Macaca fascicularis: one gene and its partner. The protein of the gene in region 1 purifies or fractionates together with the protein of each later gene. This does not show direct contact. Links are inferred from orthologs where the notes say so. Each region holds a gene or a part of one and is shown on either strand. Other genes may lie near its edges.

What was found.
Region 2: the proteins of SRSF3 (region 1) and LARP1 purify together in Homo sapiens (co-immunoprecipitation; 3 studies listed by BioGRID and IntAct, with this or other methods). This does not show direct contact. The link is inferred for Macaca fascicularis from reciprocal best matches to the Homo sapiens genes SRSF3 and LARP1.

Annotation. Positions count from the first base shown.
Region 1 is NC_088378.1:135,075,070-135,084,817, forward strand, and holds the start of SRSF3 (serine/arginine-rich splicing factor 3), read right to left. Parts: upstream 5,764-9,748; 5' UTR 5,646-5,763; intron 3,408-5,645; 5' UTR 3,406-3,407; coding exon 3,200-3,405; intron 1,342-3,199; coding exon 1,207-1,341; intron 368-1,206; exon of another isoform or gene 1-367. UniProt on the Homo sapiens protein: Splicing factor, which binds the consensus motif 5'-C[ACU][AU]C[ACU][AC]C-3' within pre-mRNA and promotes specific exons inclusion during alternative splicing.
Region 2 is NC_088380.1:161,589,780-161,598,778, forward strand, and holds part of LARP1 (la-related protein 1), read left to right. Parts: intron 1-1,733; coding exon 1,734-2,126; intron 2,127-3,012; coding exon 3,013-3,136; intron 3,137-3,262; coding exon 3,263-3,468; intron 3,469-3,928; coding exon 3,929-4,035; intron 4,036-5,534; coding exon 5,535-5,686; intron 5,687-8,427; coding exon 8,428-8,572; intron 8,573-8,999. UniProt on the Homo sapiens protein: RNA-binding protein that regulates the translation of specific target mRNA species downstream of the mTORC1 complex, in function of growth signals and nutrient availability.

The DNA of each region.
Region 1 (9,748 bases):
GTTGCGTTGGATTTAGTTGGTTGGCGAAGGGGGTGTTGTGGATTTTTCCTGCTTTTTTGTTAGCCGAAGGCTGCTGCTGTAGTTGTTGTGAAGACATTTGGTAAATAAACAGCTGAGCTGATTGGCCAGGAATGTGTGGGCGGTCGAGGTGGCTGCTGCCGATTTGGTTAAGGTTGGAGAGAAGGCTGAGAGAAAACAGCATGCTCGGGAACCAAAGGGCGGTGCAACCTGACGACTGGCCAGCCTGGGTCATGTGAAACGACACCAGCCAAGCTGAATGGGGCGCGCTGGTCACATGACGCTGAAAGGGCTAGTTGACTGGCTAATGCAGATTCAGAGGGTGGTGAGAAGAGACATGATGGTGACTCTGTAACGGGGTTCATTTTTATTAATAGATGGACCAAAAAGCACAAAAAAAATGAAAAACAAGCCATCAGTACAACCATCTATTAGCTAACAAATACTCTTTATTATGATGGGCAACAGTGTGCTGTTGTTTTTCAAAATAGCAAAAGGGGCAAGATTTTGAACTCCTGTCTCCTAGAAGGACTCCACTCACCTGTAAGAGGTAAATTTAGTCCTATAGAAACTATTTTGGAGGTCTGAGGAGATGTGGAGTTAGCAACCAGACAATACTGCCTGGTCCAAGAATGATGCCATTTTCAATTATAAAAAAACTGAATTTTCTCCTATTTGGGATTGAAGAACAGATGACTGGGATTACGTCTTTTTTAGCCCCCTTTATTGGTCAGTGACTTAAGTTAGTTTCAGAATGATTTCTACTTTACCAGTTGTAACATTAAAACAGCTGCCTGTTTGATAAATATTACAATTGTGCTAGTAGTAGAAAACACAAATTTGTGAAGAGCTAGAGTTGAATGTAATGTTTGTCATTATGGAGCCAAGAAATGGAAAAAGGCCTAAATTGAAGTATAAGGGAAGATTTGGAAAGATGCAACTAGAAAGATGAACTAGAAGACAGATCCAAGATAGAAGTTACTGACTACCAACATGAACAGTGACCTAAAGACAAAAGCCAACACTCAGCACAACTCACATACCCCAAACTACACCCAACAAATGTTTCATAGAAACCTCCGAATCTTCCAAAGTTTAAAACCCACCAACAAACTTTTAAGAGAAATACCTGCTCCTACTAGCTACTCCATTACACCAATACCTCTAAACAAGCTTTCTCTCAAGTACCTGCGACGAGGTGGAGGACTCCTCCTACGATAATCATCTCGAGGGCGACGACCCCAAGAGGGAGGTGGGCCACGATTTCTACTTCTTTTTTCACCATTCGACAGTTCCACTCTTACACGGCAGCCACATAGTGTTCTGAGGAAGCAAAGATATTACACTTAAAACAGCCTAACTTTCTGACTTGTGTATTAAAGCCAAAAGTACTCCCAGTTGGCTATTCTGCAAAGAACACATCTGAATGTCTGTGAAATTTAATACCAAATTTCTAGCTCCCTTATTTTTACTAATATAAAGTGAGCTTTGGCCGGGCATGGTGGTACACGCCTGTAATCCCAACACTTTGTGAGGCTGAGGTAGGCGGATCACTAGGTCAAGAGTTCGACACCATCCTGGCCAACATGGTGAAACCCTGGCTCTACTAAAAATACAAAAAATAGCCAGGTGTGGTGGCACATGCCTGTAATCCCAGCTACTCAGGAGGCTGAGGCAGGAGAATCACTCAAACCCAGTAGGCAGAGGTTGCAGTGAGCCAAGATCACGCCACTGCACTCCAGCCTGGGCAACAGAGCAAGACTCTGTCTTGAAAAACAAAATAAGTTTGTTTCTCAGTTTCAAATTAAAATTTCAATTAATTTCAAATTAAACAATTAAATAGGATTTTCTAAAGTACCAATTCACAAGGAAGCCAACTTCTATTTTATTGCCTAATTGTTAGAGCCAGTCTGACTACTGAGCTCAATATTAATTTGTTAACAGTTGCAATTTAAGTGTGAAGATCCATTTATCCTTGAAAAACAAGTTCTTCTGTATCTTCATTACGACGACTTCTTTTGAGGTCCCAGCACTTATTTCAGTTATTTGTCAGGCTGTATTTATTGGTCTCCCCCCGCCCAACTCCAAGTAAAAAATGGGCTCAAGACAAGACAACCATTTTGGCCATTTTACAGTACCCTCTCCCCTCAATAGTCAGCACAGAACAAATTATAGCTGTGGCCAGGTGAGGTGGCTCACTCCTGTAATACCAGCGCTCAGACAGATTGAGGTAGGAGGATGGCTTGAGCCCAGGAGCTTGAAGTCAGCCTGGGCAACACAGACCGCCATCTGTATTATTTTTTAAATATACATTTTTTAAAAAAAAGAAATTATAGCTCAGAGTAGTAGAAAAGACCATTACTTCTCACCCTTCATACAACCCGTCATTAAATTTAGATAAGCTATCATATTTGGACAGTGACTGGGAAGAGGTGAGCCCTGGAAAACTTTACTACGGCCTGCTTGAATTGACCAACCTTTCATGTAGCTTTACAGTGAACGCTCAGACCCTTTTTTCCATTATATTTCCAAAGATGAGGAAAGCGGGGTGGGGGCATGGAGGTCAATACTCAGGCCTTACTTAGCCAGCTAACAGGACACTATTAACACAAAGGGAGATAGTAACTGATTCACTTTCTGGAATAAGTATTTCAAACACATAAAAGTAAAGATACAACAAACCCGCGTAACCATTTTGTAAACAATTTTTTAAACAAGTATCAGTTCACAACTACTCTTAAAAATATTTGATCCTGGCTGGGCAGAGTGGCTCACACCTGTAATTCCAGCACTTTGGGAGAGCGACCCAGGCAGGCAGACCACCTGAGGTCGGGAGTTCGAGACCTGCCTGGTCAACATGGTGAAACCCTATCTTTGCTAGAAATACAAAAATCAGCCCCGCATAATGGCACATGCCTAGAGTCCCAGTTACTCAGGAGGCTGAGGGAGGAGAATCACCTGAACCCAGGAGGCGGAGGCTGTGGTGAGCCGAGATCGTACCACTGCACTCCAGCCCAGGTGACAGAGCAAGACTCTTCTCAAAAAAAAAAAAAAAAAAATCCCAATTGTATCTAAAGATACAATTGGCCAGTGATTGGGAAAGCCAGATCTAAGAGCCACATATCCTGTACATTTTAAATATGAAAAATACAAGCAATACATTTGTATCAATTTAAATCACCTTCCATCTAGCTCTCGGACCGCATCAGCTGCATCTCGGGGATCTTCAAATTCAACAAAAGCAAAGCCGGGTGGGTTTCTAGCAACCCACACACTTCGGAGTGGTCCATAGTAGCCAAAAGCCCGTTCCAATTCGGTCTTGTTGCCATTGTTTCCAAGATTGCCTACATAAACCTTACAGTCCAATGGACAGGAATCACGATGCATTTCTGTAATGAAAAATACCAAAAATATTCATTTATCTAAACATCTACAGTTAAAACCACAGATCCTTAGAAAGAATTCCATTATGGTGCACAAAAGAGTTTAAGGTAGCATGTAAAGAGAAAAAAAAACTTAATTCCAAAATGCTAGAAACAAACAAGAAATGTTACTGCTAAGCACCTGTTCCCCCATAACTTTTACTCTCCTGACCCTCAGGAAGCCAGCAATTAGTGAAGGAAAAAACAGCTTCCTTGGAACGTGAGAACACTGGAGGAGCATTTACCATCATCTGGGCCGTGAGTTAAAGACTTAACCTGTTATTTTATTTAATCCCCCAAATAAAGCATTTCTAGAAAAGTATAAAAGAGTTCTGTTGGGGACTCAAAACCAAATACAACAATGATGAAGAAAGCTAGTCCTTTAGGTTACACTACCAGAAAAGGGATTCAAAGTGCCTACATAAGCCAAAACGTATCAGCTTTAATAAAAAGCCAACTTTTCATTTAAAAAAAAAAAAAAGCCCATGGACCGGGCTCACGCCTGTAATCCCAGCACTTTTGGGAAGCCGAGGCAGGCGGATCACGAGGTCAGGAGTTCGAGACCAGCCTAGCCAATATGGTGAAACTCCGTCTCAACTAAAAATACAGAAATTAGCCGGGCATGGTGGCAAACACCTTTAGTCCCAGCTACTCGGGAGGCTCAGGCAGAACAATCGCTTGAACCCGGGAAGCGGAGGTGGCAGTGAGCCAGATCGCGCCACTGTACTCCAGTCTGGGCGACAGAGCGAGGTTCCATCGTCAAAAAAATAAATAAATGCATGCCTATTTTGGTCATTTGAAATCATAGGAACAAGGCTGCTATCACATGTCATTAAATAGACCAAAGTCTTATGCAGTAAGAATTTCTCAAGCAACGAGACCAACTTTCCAGTTTTTTTTTTAAACGTAAGCTCATAGCAGCACTTATTCACAGTAGCCAAAAGGTGTTAACCCAAATGTCCATCAACAGAAACGGATAAGCAAAATGTGGTATAGACATAAAATGAGTATTGTTCAGAATGATGTACTGACAAATACTCCAACGTTGGAAAATCTTGAAAACATTACGCTAAAGAAGCCAGACATAAAAATACACGATTCCATAAATACTAAATATCTAAAATAGCTAAGTTCAGAGAGAGAGATTAGTGGTGGCTAGTGACTGGAGGAAGTGGGACAGGGAAACTGGGAGTAAGGGCTCAATGGGTAGGAGTCTCCTGGGGGCGGTGGGGGGTGACGGAAATGTTTTGGAACTACGTGTAAGTGATGATTACACAACACTGATTATACTAAATACCACTTTGGGATAATTTTACTTTAATAAAAAGTTACAAAGAGGTATTTGCTACTCAAAAATTCACTGCACTTTGGGGACTTATTTTTTTGTTTTTCCTTGGCGGACTTACATTTGATTAAGCTTTATTACTTAGTCGTCACTTCGGCGATGAATCTGATAAACTTGTAGACCAGTTTCAATTACATAAAAACCATATACTCAATAATTTAGCTGAAGTGCTTTCCATAAACACCACGTTCTTACTCTGGGCTTGTCTAATTAAAATATCCAGTCCAGACACATCCTACTTGCTGTGACCACACCCTGTGCCCAGGAGTTCTAAGATAAAACCACTGGTGAAAATCTTTAAAAACACTGCTGGCATCTGTCTTAAGCCTACATTTTAATGGGAGGCGGCTGAAAGAACGAATCTTAATAAGTTCAAGGAAGATCGTTCGGTCTTAGAAAAAAGTGATTAGATTCAGGCTGCAAAAACTGAAACTACATGAAAGTAAAAGTGATTACGGGGGCCATTTAACATGAATTAGAAGGTCCAGTCTTGGTTAGTGACTTTACAAAAGCATTCCGAGGAGCTTCCCAATTAAATGATGGGCCCAAAAAAAAGGCGCCATAAACATAAAAAGGCTGCGACCTGGAATACAACTCGGCTATCGGTCCCCTTTGTGGCTCCCAACTCCCGGGTAACCCCCTATCCTGGCTCATCACCCACTGAGGAATATAAACACCTCCACCCCAAGACTAGGAAACCCTCTGATGGGCCGGGAACCCCCGCCACCGCCCCGTGCTGAACGTCACAAAATGGCGGCGGCGCCTCTTTGTCTCAATCTGGCGCCGCCATTGGGCCTGGCTCCTCCTTGGTACGGTTAAACTCCACTTCCACCTCACTCCCTCTTTCGCTGGTCTCTTACCGAGATCTAGGGTTAAGAAATGCAGCGGCTCAAATCCACACGCTCCGATGGGTCTTCCTGCTTTCCTCCGACCCAACACCCACCAAAGCTCTCGCTCACCCGGCGTCCACGAAATGGCGGACCACCGCTTTCTCCTCGCCTTTATTTATACGCCATACTGGAATCACATGATTGGACGGACTCGCCCAATGAGAAGCAGAAGAGGCCGTGACGTAGTGGCTACAAACGCAGCGAGAGCCGCGGTTGCTGGGAGCGCGCTCTGGCGGTTGCGCCGGGTGGGTGGAGAAGTGCGCCGGCGCGCGCGCTCGTTGTAACAGGCCTGGCGCTCCCTCGAGCGTTCTTCCTAGTGTGTCGACCTTCAAGTTACCCACAGACCCCTCTTCCTAACCTCCAAATGGGCTGGGACTTCATAAACAGCACCGTCCCCGTCACGCCCAAACACTAATCGGAGCCGTTGGCTCCTAACAAGATTAAGAGATGAATTAATTAAGTGCTTCATCCTTGTGAGCGGTTAGGCTGGACCTAAGAGCATCGCGTTTACAAACAGGTCACGGAGCTGTTTGTGACCCAGCTGGCACCAGACTGTGGCCGCCTAGATTCCACCCTGAAGGAAAAACCTGGTTTGAAAAGTTTGCCCAACTCTTGCTGGTTTCTCGCCTCTCACGCAAACTTGCAGGACTTGGCGCTGACAGCAAAGGAGACCGGTCAGGTGACCTGGAAACTATCACCTTTAGCAAACACCGGGAAAAGGAAGTTTCTGAAGAAGATTGAATGTAAATTGTGGGCCCCCAAGCGAATGCCGGGAGGGGTATCTCGGGCCTTTCTCCTAGCAGCCCTTGCACTGCCTGGCATGTATTTTGTCCGGACCACTTCCCTTAGGAACACAGAGCCACAAGAATAATTAACTCTAAGGGGAGAGAGACTGTGATAAGCTTAGAAAAATCACCAAGGGCCGGGCGCCGGGCTCACGCCTGTAATCCCAGCACTTTGGGAAGCCGAGGCAGGCGGATCACTTGAGGTCAAGAGTTCAAAACTAGCCTGGCCAACATGGTCATTAGTTCAAAACCAGCCTGGCCAACATGGTGAAATCCCGTCTCTACTAAAAATACAAATATTGGTCGGGCGTGGTGGCGGGCGCCTGTAATCCCAGCTACTTGGGAGGAGAGCAGAAGAATCACTTGAACCCAGGAGGTGGAGGTTGCTGTGAGCTGAGATCCTCCCACAGCACTCCAGCCTGGGCCACAGAGCGAGACTTCGTGTCAAAAAAAAGGAAGAAAATAAAAATCACCAAGATTTCCTGAACAGTTCAGCTAGTCTCCTGCCCCCAAATATACCCCCACCCTAAACCCCTTTCAGTCTAGTCTGACGTATTGCTAAATTTACTTGTTATATCTGCTCTAAAAAAAAAAAAAAAAAAATGAGAAAAAGGCTGGGTGTGACGGTTCACGCCTGTAATCCCAGCACTTTGGGAGGCCAAGGCGGGCCCATCACCTGAGGTCAGGAGTTCAAGACCAGCCTGGCCAATATGGTGAAACCCCATCTCTACTAAAAACACAAAAATTAGTCCGGCGCGGTGGCACACACCTGTAATCCCAGCTACCGGGGAGGCTGAGAGAGGAGAATTGTTTGAACCCGAGAGGCAGAGGTTGCAGTGAGTTGAGATCATTCCATTGCACTCCAGCCTGGGTGACAGAGCGAGACTCCGTCTCAAAAAAAAAAAAGAGAGAGAAAGAACCTGTGTTTTTATTTATTCCCTCTTAGCTGAAAGATATGCCAATTATTACGTTTTTCCGTTTTTTGTTTTTTTAGAGATAGAGTCTTGCTCTGTAGCCTAGGCTGGAGTGCAATGGCGTGACTTCCGCTCACTGCAACCTCCGCTTCCCGGGTTCAAGCAATTCTCCTGCCTCAGCTTCCTGAGTAGCTGGGATTACAGGCATCTGTAAACACACCCGGCTAATTTTTGTATTTTTAGTAGAGACGGAGTTTCACCATGCTGGTCAGTCTGGTCTCGAACTCCCCACCTCAAGCAATCTGCCCGCCTCGGCCTCCCAAAGTGCTGGGATTACAGGCCTCAGCCACAACACCTGGCCAGCCAATTATTATGTTTTAACTTTCCCAGGTATTTTTCTTTTGAAGCCTTACCTCTTATTGTGGTTCTAAAGGTTTATCTGTAGCGAAGGAAAAATACAGATTTATTACATCTCAGCCTAGTTTCCTCACCTGTAAAAGGGGGGTAGGGGTTCCTAGCAAACCTTTTCTTATTTCTCTCTCATCTAGATTTTTTTTTCTGGCTCATTTATATTTGCCTTGATTTGTTCCCCTCCTCTATGTAAGCTTTTCTCCTCTTTTTCATTTTCTTTCCTTCTATCAAATCAAAGGCTCTGGAGTCAGGCAGTCCTGGATTTGGCCCCAGCCCCCACTGCTAGTTACTAGCTGAAGCGTCCTGAGAAGAATGTTTAACTTCTGTATTTCCTCTGTATAAAATAACCCCAGTCTTGCAGGGTTACAGCTGTTAGGTTTTGTCACTTTGGCCAATTGTGGTCACACCTGCATCCCCAGGGCTTGGAAACGACACAGCAGTCAAGCAATACATAGTTGTTTATTTTTATTTATTTATTTATTTTTGAGACTCTTGGGTCTGGCTATGTCACCCAGGCTGGAGTGCAGTGGTTCGTTCTTGCCTCACGGCAACCTTCACCTCCCAGGCTCAAGCAGTTCTCCTGCCTCAGCCTCCCCAACAACTAGGACCACAGGCGCAAGCACAAACGCCCAGCTAATTTTTGTATTTTTTGTAGAGACAGGATTTCACCATGTTGCTCAGGCTGATCTGAAACTCCTTAGCTCAAAACCATCCACCATCCTCTACCTCCCAAAGTGCTGGGATTACAGCCGTGAGCCACAGCACCTGGGCTTTTTTTTTTTTTTCCTTTCTTTCTTTCATTTACTTATTTATTTATTTTGAGACAGGGTCTTACTCTCTTACTCAGGCAGGAGGGCATTGGAGCAAACTTCACGCACCACAACCTGGACCTCGTGGGCTGGACCTCATAGGTTAAAATTAGCCACCGTGCCTGGCTAATTTTTTGACTTTTTATAGAGGAGTCTCACTTTGTTGCCTAGGTTGGTCTCGAACTCCTGGCCTCAAACGATTCTACTGCCTTGGGAGAGTTGTTTGAGTTGAGACCAATCCAACTCCTGAGATTGGTCTCTAATTCCTGACCTCAAACAAGTCTCCGGAAGTGCTGGGATTACAGGCATGAGCCACCGCGCTGGGCTGTTAAATTATTTAATTAAGAGAAATGATGTATGTAAATCGTCTGGCACAATCACTGCTTTTCAAACTGCTGGCCGGCTGGGTGCAGTGGCTCACACCTGTAATCGCAGCACTTTGGGAGGCCTAGGCTGGTGGACCACTTTAGACCAAGAGTTTGAGATCAGCCTAGGCAACATGGGGAGAACCTGTCTTTACTAAAAATACAAAAAATTAACCGTGGTGATGGGAACCTGTAGTCCAGCTACTCGGAAAGCTGAGGTGGGGGAATCGCCTGAACCCGAGAAGTTGAGGCTGCAGTAAGCCAAGATCGTGCCACTGCACTCCAGTGCATTCCAGTGCAGTCGAATGAGACCCTGTCTTATAAATAAATAAATAAATAAATAAATACATACATACATACATGCTGGCCTTTTAAAACTTTGACCATCTCATTTTCCCATTCTTTCCCACCACTTTTCCTGTTTTTTGTTTGTTTGTTTGTGTGTGTGGTGCTAGTCAAGTGTGTTGTCTTTCAGTGGAACTCTCTTAATCCCTCCACCTCTAGTAACGAAAACATTCTGAACCTCCCCTGGCCATCCACAGCTTTTCATCTTCTAGTGACTTCAGACAAATAAATTGTCCACTTGCTGTAGAGGTTTTTTTTTTTTCTTTTCTTTGTTTTTTTTTTTTTTTTTTTTTTGGTCTCACTCTGTTGCCCAGGCTGGAGTGCAGTGGCACGATCTTGGCTCACTGCAACCTCCACCTCCCGGGTTCACGCAATTCTCCTACCTCAACCTCCCGAGTAGCTGGGACTACAGGTGTGCACCACCACGCCGGGCTGATTTTTATG
Region 2 (8,999 bases), on another chromosome or scaffold:
GGAGAGGGTAGAATATTCTAGAAATAGTTTATATACATAAACAGATGAAGTTCACTGTTAAAGAAGTATTACAATCTCTAACTCGAATTACTACTTCCTTTTTAAGTGCTGAATTTTTCTCCACATACCTGCTCATCCTCACACACTTTAGAGACCTCTGGCCTGGGGCTTGTGAGGAGACTTCAGAATTGACCTTGAACTTTGGGTCTATGGAATTCTATACTCCCTTATCTATTTTCCCACAGTGACTACCTCTCATCTCCTTTCTCTCGCCTGCCTGTTCATACACAGAATTGCCCACAGTTGGCCGGGCGCGGTGGCTCAAGCCTGTAATCCCAGCACTTTGGGAGGCCGAGGCGGGCGGATCACAAGGTCAGGAGATCGAGACCACAGTGAAACCCCGTCTCTACTAAAAATACAAAAAATTAGCCGGGCGCGGTGGCGGGTGCCTGTAGTCCCAGCTACTCAGGAGGCTGAGGCAGGAGAATGGCGGGAACCCGGGAGGCGGAGCTTGCAGTGAGCCGAGATCGCGCCACTGCACTCCAGCCTGGGCAACAGCGTGAGACTCCGTCTCAAAAAAAAAAAAAAAAAGAATTGCCCACAGTTGCGGCTTCAGCCCTTAAAAAGTGTTGGAGATCCAGCCAGAGACATGAGGAGAAAGGTAGTAAGTAGATAAGGGTCTTACAAAGTCCAGGCCTACAAAGTTTTCTTTGAAACAGGGGTCAGGCTTAGTTCCCATTCCAGAATTAGAGCCACTACTCCGACCTGGTCTATCTTAAACCTTAAAAAAAGATAGGTTTAGATTTTTTGTAGGAAGCCCTTGGCGCAGCAGGGAATCTACTTTTGAATAAATACTGTGAGTTTAGACAAATGCTTCTCTCTCAGCATCTCATATTCAGTCTATCAAAACAAATAGTTTCTCTTTGCTGAAGGCACCTTGTTTTTTCTTGCCTTTGGAACAATGGTGTTCTTTCTGCCTAGCATACTCTGTCCCTATCTTCATCTGGCTTACTTATGTTCATCCTGTGGTAGTCACTTCTTGAAGGAGGCCTTCCCTAACCATTCTTAGTCACAGTTGACTAAGCTCCTTTCACTGTGTGCTTCCACAAACCTGCTTATAGCCTTTACCATACCACAATGCACTTGGCTGTTTGGTTGACCTTCTCCCACTGAGCTCCCTAAGTAACAGGGACCTTGTCTTATTATTCTGCTTTTAGATTTTTCATACAAAGCTTAGGACTAATGGGTGTTCCCTCATTTATTATATAATTGAACATCTGCTATTACCAGATCCCCATCTAGCTACTGAGTATATAATGGAAAGCAAGGCAACTATGGATCATGGAGCTTTCAGTTCATTGTGAGATTTTGAGTAGATGGATGAAAGGATGAATCAACCCCATGAACTACTGTGTGTCCACTCCTAGGCTAGGTGCTATGTAGGATATAAAGGTAAATGAGAGCACAGTTCCTGCCTATAGAGAATTCATCATCTAGTTGTTTGTGCATGACTGTGATATGAGCTGTGAGTGGAGGAACCTGGACTTCTATGAGACATCCTTTATCATAGTCATAAAGCTGACTCCCAGGATGACACTTGTGACCTGCTGGTGTTACCGGGTCTTGAACAGTCTCATGCTGAGGGGCTGGAGCCTCCCTCTCATGGAATAGCTACAGAATCTGGGCCAAGGACCTCCGGTGATTCCTTTTCCCCTTCGTCTGTCCTATTTTAGAAGTCAGAGGAGCCCAGATTTGCCCACCTGACTTCTCTGCCTCAGCAGCTGCCCTCCCAGCAGCTGATGTCCAAGGATCAGGATGAGCAAGAGGAACTGGATTTTCTGTTTGACGAGGAGATGGAGCAGATGGATGGGCGGAAGAACACCTTCACCGCCTGGTCTGATGAGGAATCGGACTATGAGATTGATGACAGGGATGTCAACAAGATCCTCATTGTCACCCAGACACCACATTACATGCGCCGGCACCCAGGGGGGGACCGCACAGGCAACCACACCTCGCGTGCTAAGATGAGCGCCGAGCTGGCCAAGGTCATTAATGATGGCCTCTTCTACTATGAGCAGGACCTGTGGGCTGAGAAGTTTGAACCTGAGTATTCCCAGATCAAGGTGAGGCTTGGACATAGCAGTGGGTGTGGAGCCTGGGGTGCCTGTAGTGTACAGAGAAGAGGAAGATTGATTAGCTGTGCAACTTGAGGCAGGTCTTTATAATTCAGAGTCTCAGAATTTTTATATATGGGAAGGGGATGATGACTGGTATCTAGCGTGGGCATTAGGAGTGAGGGGTGATGTTTAAACACTGCAAACTCTTCAGGTGAGGCAGGGGTGATTATTATCCTACCTGTGGATCCATAGTTAATATTATGAAAGTTGGCTAGACACTTTTGTGGGGAATAGAATAAAGGGTTAGATTGTTATTTCTAGTCTTAAATATTTAGGCGTCTAAAAATTTAGAAGCCTTTTAAGAAGCTTGTGTTGAGTATGAAAAATGGACAGGTCTTTTGAAAAATTGCTGCTGCCTGGAAACAGTCAAAACATCTTTGTTGTAGGATTTTACAGAGTAGGTATGTTTGGTGGTAGGTTGTCCTAGGATGAGCCCGTGTAACAAGTAGCAGTGCGTTTACTGGAAGTAAGGAGGAAGGAGAGTTGCCCAGCCACTGTGTGATAAGGCAGTAGCAGAAAGAGAGATGGGGAAACACTGGAGCTTTCAAGGGAGAGTCTGTAGTGAGTTCCTGTGGAACTCCTGTAAGCCTGACCTCAGTCTTACTACAGGGAGGGCAGGGCAAGTACTGTCTTTTTCTGGGCTAGCACACTTGTACCAAGGTACCTGGGGTGAGGAATGGTGACTGGGCAGCTGAGAGCCTGGGGACCAGAATTCCATGTATGTCGATGTGGGAGCTGCCCTCTCCAACTTCCTGCCAGTCTTGATTCCTTAAACAGGCTGGAACAGCTTCCTTACTTACATCTTTCTCCACCCATCTCATAACCTCTGCAGCAAGAAGTCGAGAACTTCAAAAAAGTCAATATGATCAGCCGGGAGCAGTTTGACACACTGACCCCTGAGCCCCCTGTGGATCCCAACCAGGAAGTTCCTCCTGGGCCACCTCGGTTCCAGCAAGGTGAGAAGCAGACACCTGAGATCCTGACATGGGTGAGAGGGTCTGGAGCCCTTGGACTAGGGGCTATCCAGGGGTGGATGCTACAGGCCTTTCCTTGCTTCCTGACTCCTCTCTGTGCCACTGCAGTTCCCACAGATGCCCTGGCCAACAAGTTGTTTGGTGCTCCTGAGCCCTCCACCATCGCCCGCTCTCTACCAACCACTGTCCCAGAGTCACCAAACTACCGCAACACCAGGACCCCCCGTACTCCCCGGACACCACAGCTCAAAGACTCAAGCCAGACATCACGGTTTTACCCAGTAGTGAAAGAAGGACGGACACTGGATGCCAAGGTGAGGCATTTCTGTCAGGCTGCTCAGAGTCTTGGGCCTTCTTGATTGCATTCCAGTGCTTTGCTTCTCTCCTTTGCCTTGTCTGAGCCAAGGAAGTGCCAAATCCTTTACCTGCTCTCTGTTCTGAGGCTGGTGGGCTTGCCAACCCTAGGATTAGGTGGCCACATCTGCAAAATATACTGGGTGTGGGAGTGGTGGCCCCATGTAGAAAGGCCTAAGGAGGATTGACCAGGTATGAGTCCTTGGGCAAATCACTTCATTCCCAAACCTTGATTTCTTCACCTGTTTGAAATAGGCATACCAGTTCCTAGCTCACCACTGTGAACATTATAAGAGAATGAATATGAAAATGCTATTGTAAAATGTGAGAGATCATGCCCATCTTAGTCCTACAAGTGCTTGATGCTCCTCAGAGTTGTAGGAGTGCAAATAGTAACAAACCCTGGGCTAACCTTTGCAGATGCCTCGAAAAAGAAAGACAAGACACAGTTCAAACCCACCCTTGGAGAGCCATGTGGGCTGGGTGATGGATTCCCGTGAGCACAGGCCCCGTACTGCTTCCATCAGGTACCTGGGGCAGTGGGGGAAGAGTGATCAGGCTGCCTGTGGGATGGGTGGGCAAGCATGAAATTGACTGGACCAAGAAGATTGGTCTGAAAATTAAAGGGACCCTCATTTAAGAGATTTTCAAAAAAGCAGTGGTGTGGAAAGCTCAGCCTAGGACCTGGGGACGAGGTGGAAAGCTCAGCCCAGGACCTGGGAATGAGGTGGAGGCTTTTTTCCTAAAGAAGTGGTGTGGCAGTCACATGAGACCATATTTTCATACATGCAGAGAGAAAATCTCTCTAAATTGGTTTCCAAGCCTGGATGTCTACTTTCTATCTGAGGAAGGATAGCCAGGTAGTTGAATAAACAGATTTCTGGGAGTCTCTCTGAGCCTGCTGTGTCTTGGGAGGCTACCTGAAAAGTTTTAAAAATTAAAAAAATATATATTTATTGGCCCCAACCTATATCTACTGACCCTGCTTCTTGGGGTAGGACCCATGCTCTTTATTTATTTATTTCAGTAAGATGGCCCCAGTATGTGTTTCCTGTTTCCCAAAGCAAGCTTTGAGAGCCACCTACCTATGCTGTCTACTCCCTGCAAAGATGGCACAGACTGCAAATAGGCATGCTTTTGAAGAAAATAACAATTGATCTTTGAACAACGAAGGGCCTGGGGTGCCCACCCCGCACACAGTTGAAAATCCGTGTATAACTTTTCACTCTCCAAAAGCCTGCTGTTAACCAGAAGCCTTACCAATAACATATAGTGAATTAGCACATGTTTTGCATATTATACGTATTACATACTGTATTCTTACAATAAACTGAAGAAAAAATGTTACTAAGAAAACCACAAGGGAACAACAGACACTGGGGCCTACTTGGGGGTGGGGAGAGGGAGGAGAGTGGGTGCAATTTACCTACGTAACAAACGTACACACATACCTCTGAACCTAAAATAAAAGTTAAAGTCATAGAAAATGTTTACTGTTCAGTAAGTGGAAGTGGAATCATCATAAAGGTCTTCATCCTCGTGGTCTTCACGTTGAGCAGGCTGAGAAGGAGGGGTTGGTCTTGCTGTCTCAAGAGTGGCAAAGGTGGAAGAAATCTGCGTATAAGTGGATCCATGCATTTCAAACCCATGTTGTTCAAGACTTCACTATAGATGGGTTGACCCGTGATGGCTCATTAAGGAAGGTTAAATGCTCAAAAGTTAATAAATGGTTAAAAGCTCAAGTTTTATCATTGGACACGTTTCTGCCATTAAATAGTCTTATGACCCTGGATGAGTCTCCTAATCTCTGTAAGCCTCAGTATCCTCTGTAAAACCCTCTGAGAGTTAATGCAGAGTTAATCAGTCCCATGGATATAAGTTAAAGACCTGTAACTGGGCCTCCTTGTTTGATACTCTGTGAGAGGGTGGATCTTGGCTGACAGAACGAATCAGAGGGACCCCTCCTAACCTTATGGTGGGGCTGCTGTGGGGTACCTGGTGACAGTATTTTTTGTGGTTTCTGTAGCTCCAGCCCCTCAGAAGGGACGCCTACAGTTGGCAGCTATGGCTGTACCCCTCAGTCATTGCCCAAGTTCCAACATCCTTCCCATGAACTGCTCAAGGAAAATGGCTTCACACAACACGTCTACCATAAGTATCGTAGGCGCTGCCTTAATGGTAAGAAGTGAGGGGGGCAGGGGACGATCCTCTGGGCCCCTTATTTAGACCCAGAGTGTAAGGGTTGGGGGATATGGGGATAGGTGACTTTTTTCTCTGACTTCAGAGCAAAAAAAGATGTGACATTATAGCGAGAAGGACTGAAGTTAGACTTGGGCCAGGTAGTTTTAAGCTGTAGGAAGCTAAGGGAATATGGCACTCACAACATTTGTGTTCCTTGATCTTCCTCTATTATTAAAACTGTCGGCCGGGCGCGGTGGCTCAAGCCTGTAATCCCAGCACTTTGGGAGACCGAGACGGGCAGATCACGAGGTCAGGAGATCGAGACCATCCTGGCCAACACAGTGAAACCCCGTCTCTACTAAAAAAATACAAAAAACTAGCCGGGCGAGGTGGCGGGCGCCTGTAGTCCCAGCTACTCGGGAGGCTGAGGCAGGAGAATGGCGGGAACCCGGGAGGCGGAGCTTGCAGTGAGCTGAGACCCGGCCACAGCACTCCAGCCTGGGCGACAGAGCGAGACTCCATCTCAAAAAAAAAAAAACAAACAAAAAAAACTGTCAATTAAGTATTTCTGTATCTCTGACAAGACTACTGACTCAGCCATTGTCAGGTCTAGTCCACTGTCCATCACAAAAGGGTATGTAAGAGGTGGCATATGCTCTCTAGAACAAAGGTTGCCAAATTGTAGTTTGTGAGTCAAATCCAGCCAGTAGTCTGTTTTCATATGGCTTTGGAGCTAAGGACAGTTTTTACATTTTTAAGGGGTTGTAAGAAAAAAAGATTTGTGACAGAGACTATATGTCATCTATAAAGCCTGAAATATTTGTTCTCTGTCCCTTTACAGAAGTAGTTTGCTGATCCCCCCTGCAGATGATAGTGTAAGGAAAGAGCCTGTCTAGATGCTCTTGTCTGTCCCCCCTCTTTTAGCATTCTGATTGGTTTTGTGCATCTTTACAGCCAACCTATCTTGTCACCTGTAGTTACTACTCATTCATCTCCTTTCATTCAACAAAACATGGCTGCTAAATTCTTGATTCATCCACTTCACTTCTCTCTTTCCTACTTTGTGTGTAATAACAGCTTTATTGTGATATAATTTACATATGATGCAACATACCTAAAGTATGCAATGTAATAGCTCTAAGTATATTCATATAGTTGTGTGCCCATCACCAGAATCAATTTTAGAACATTTTCATTACCCCCCAAAATGCTATGTCCCTTACCACTCATACTCATTATACATGCAAACTACTCCCCACCCCCAAAATCCTACCAGTCCTATGAAACTACTAATCTACTTTCTGCCTCTAAGGATTTGCCTATTCTGGACACTTCACATAAATTATACTGTATGTAGTCCTTTGTTACTGGCTTCTTCCCCTTAGTATATTTGGTATACTGACAAATACACAGCAAGGTTCATGTCATAGCATGCAGCAGTACTTTATTCTTTTTATTGCCAAATTGTATTCCATCATATGGATGTATCACATTTTGTGTATCCATTCATCAGTTGTTTGGCATTTGGGTTGTTTCTACTTTTTGTCTGTTGTGAATAATGCTACTGGGCATATTCACATACGGGTTTCCCGTAGACATAGCTTCTCCTTTATTTTGGATGAAAGAGTATTATTTCTGGGTCATGGGGTAACCATGTTTAACCCTTTGACAAAATTAAACACTGTTTTCCAAAGTGGAAATTTTGGAATTTTATATTGAAATATAAATTTTTATATTGAAACATAAAATTTTCATTTTATATTTCTAAAAGCAGTATGTGAGGCTTCTGGTTTTTCACATCCTTCCAACACTTGTTATTGTTTGTCTATTTTTATTTACTTTTATTAATATTTATTTTTGAGACAGGATTTTGCTCTGTCACCCAGGCTGGAATGCAGTGACTCAATTATAGTTCACTGCAGTCTCGAATTACTGGACTCAAGCAATCCTCCTGCCTCAGCCTCCTGAGTAGCTGGGACTACAGGCATGTGCTACCATACCTATCTAATTACTGAAAGTTTTCTGTAGAGACAGCGGTCTCACTATGTTGACCACGGTGGTCTTGAACTCCTGGCCTTACGCAGTCCTCCCTCCTCAGCCTCACAAAGTGCTGGAATTACAGACGTGAGCAACCTTGCCCAGCCAAGATCCTTTTTTAACTGGATTGTTTTCCTAATTATTAAGTTGTAGGAATTCCTTTATCAGATACATAATTTGCAAATATTTTCTCTGATTCTATGGGTTATCTTTTCACTTTTTTGATGCGCAAAAATTTTTCATTTTAATGATACTTATTTTCTGTTTTGTTGCTCGTGCTTTTGGTGTTGTGTATTTTTTGATATTACTGTTATGTACTTGTGAATATTGTAGGACTCTTTAGGTAAATATTGGTAATGAGCCAAATACAGTTAGAATTTCCAGACAATTTGTTCATGCCTTGTCTTGTCTCGATGGCACTTGAAAGCAGTACCAGTTGAGGTGAAGAGCTAGACTGCCAGCCTGGTTCAGAAGCTGCTGCCACCTGCTTCTGGAAAAGTACAGGCCCAGCTCCCAGCATCAGGGCCTGTTGCAGAGTGGTTAGTGCTCAATAAACATCTGCTGAATGACTGAGTGGCAGATGATGAGTGAGGGAATTTGGAGGTACAAGAGAAAGGACCAAGTCTTAAGTTCCAGAATCCTTTGTCCCTGAAGCAAGGACAGCCTGAACCTGAGACATGTCTTTCCTCCTTTCCCATCAGAGCGGAAACGCTTGGGCATTGGCCAGTCTCAGGAGATGAACACACTCTTCCGCTTCTGGTCCTTCTTCCTCCGAGATCACTTCAACAAAAAGATGTATGAGGAGTTCAAGCAGCTGGCTCTGGAGGACGCCAAAGAAGGCTACAGGTGAGCAGGTTTGGGGTGGGGGACTTTGGCTGGTGCTTAGGGATGGTATGGGATCCCTAGTTGGTCTGCTTCCAGAACTGTAGTTGGAAATTCCTTGCATGTGTATTTTCATTCATGTACTTGATGAAAAGTTTGTTTTTAAATGAGCAGTATATTCACATGGTTCAAATTTCAAACAGTTTAAAAGGTTATGTAATGAAGAGTCATCTCATCCCTGTCGCCCACCCATCTGGTGTCTTTACCCACAGGCAACCAGTATTAGAATCTTGTGGGTCCTTTATAAAGGACCCTGTGTAAGTAAGTAGGTATTTGTGTAATCTTCCATGCCACTACCACTCCTTTTGTTTACATAAAAGCTGGCCTATGTTATAATATTTTCTGCACCTTGCATTTGTTTTTGTTTAATACTATATTTTGGAGATCATTC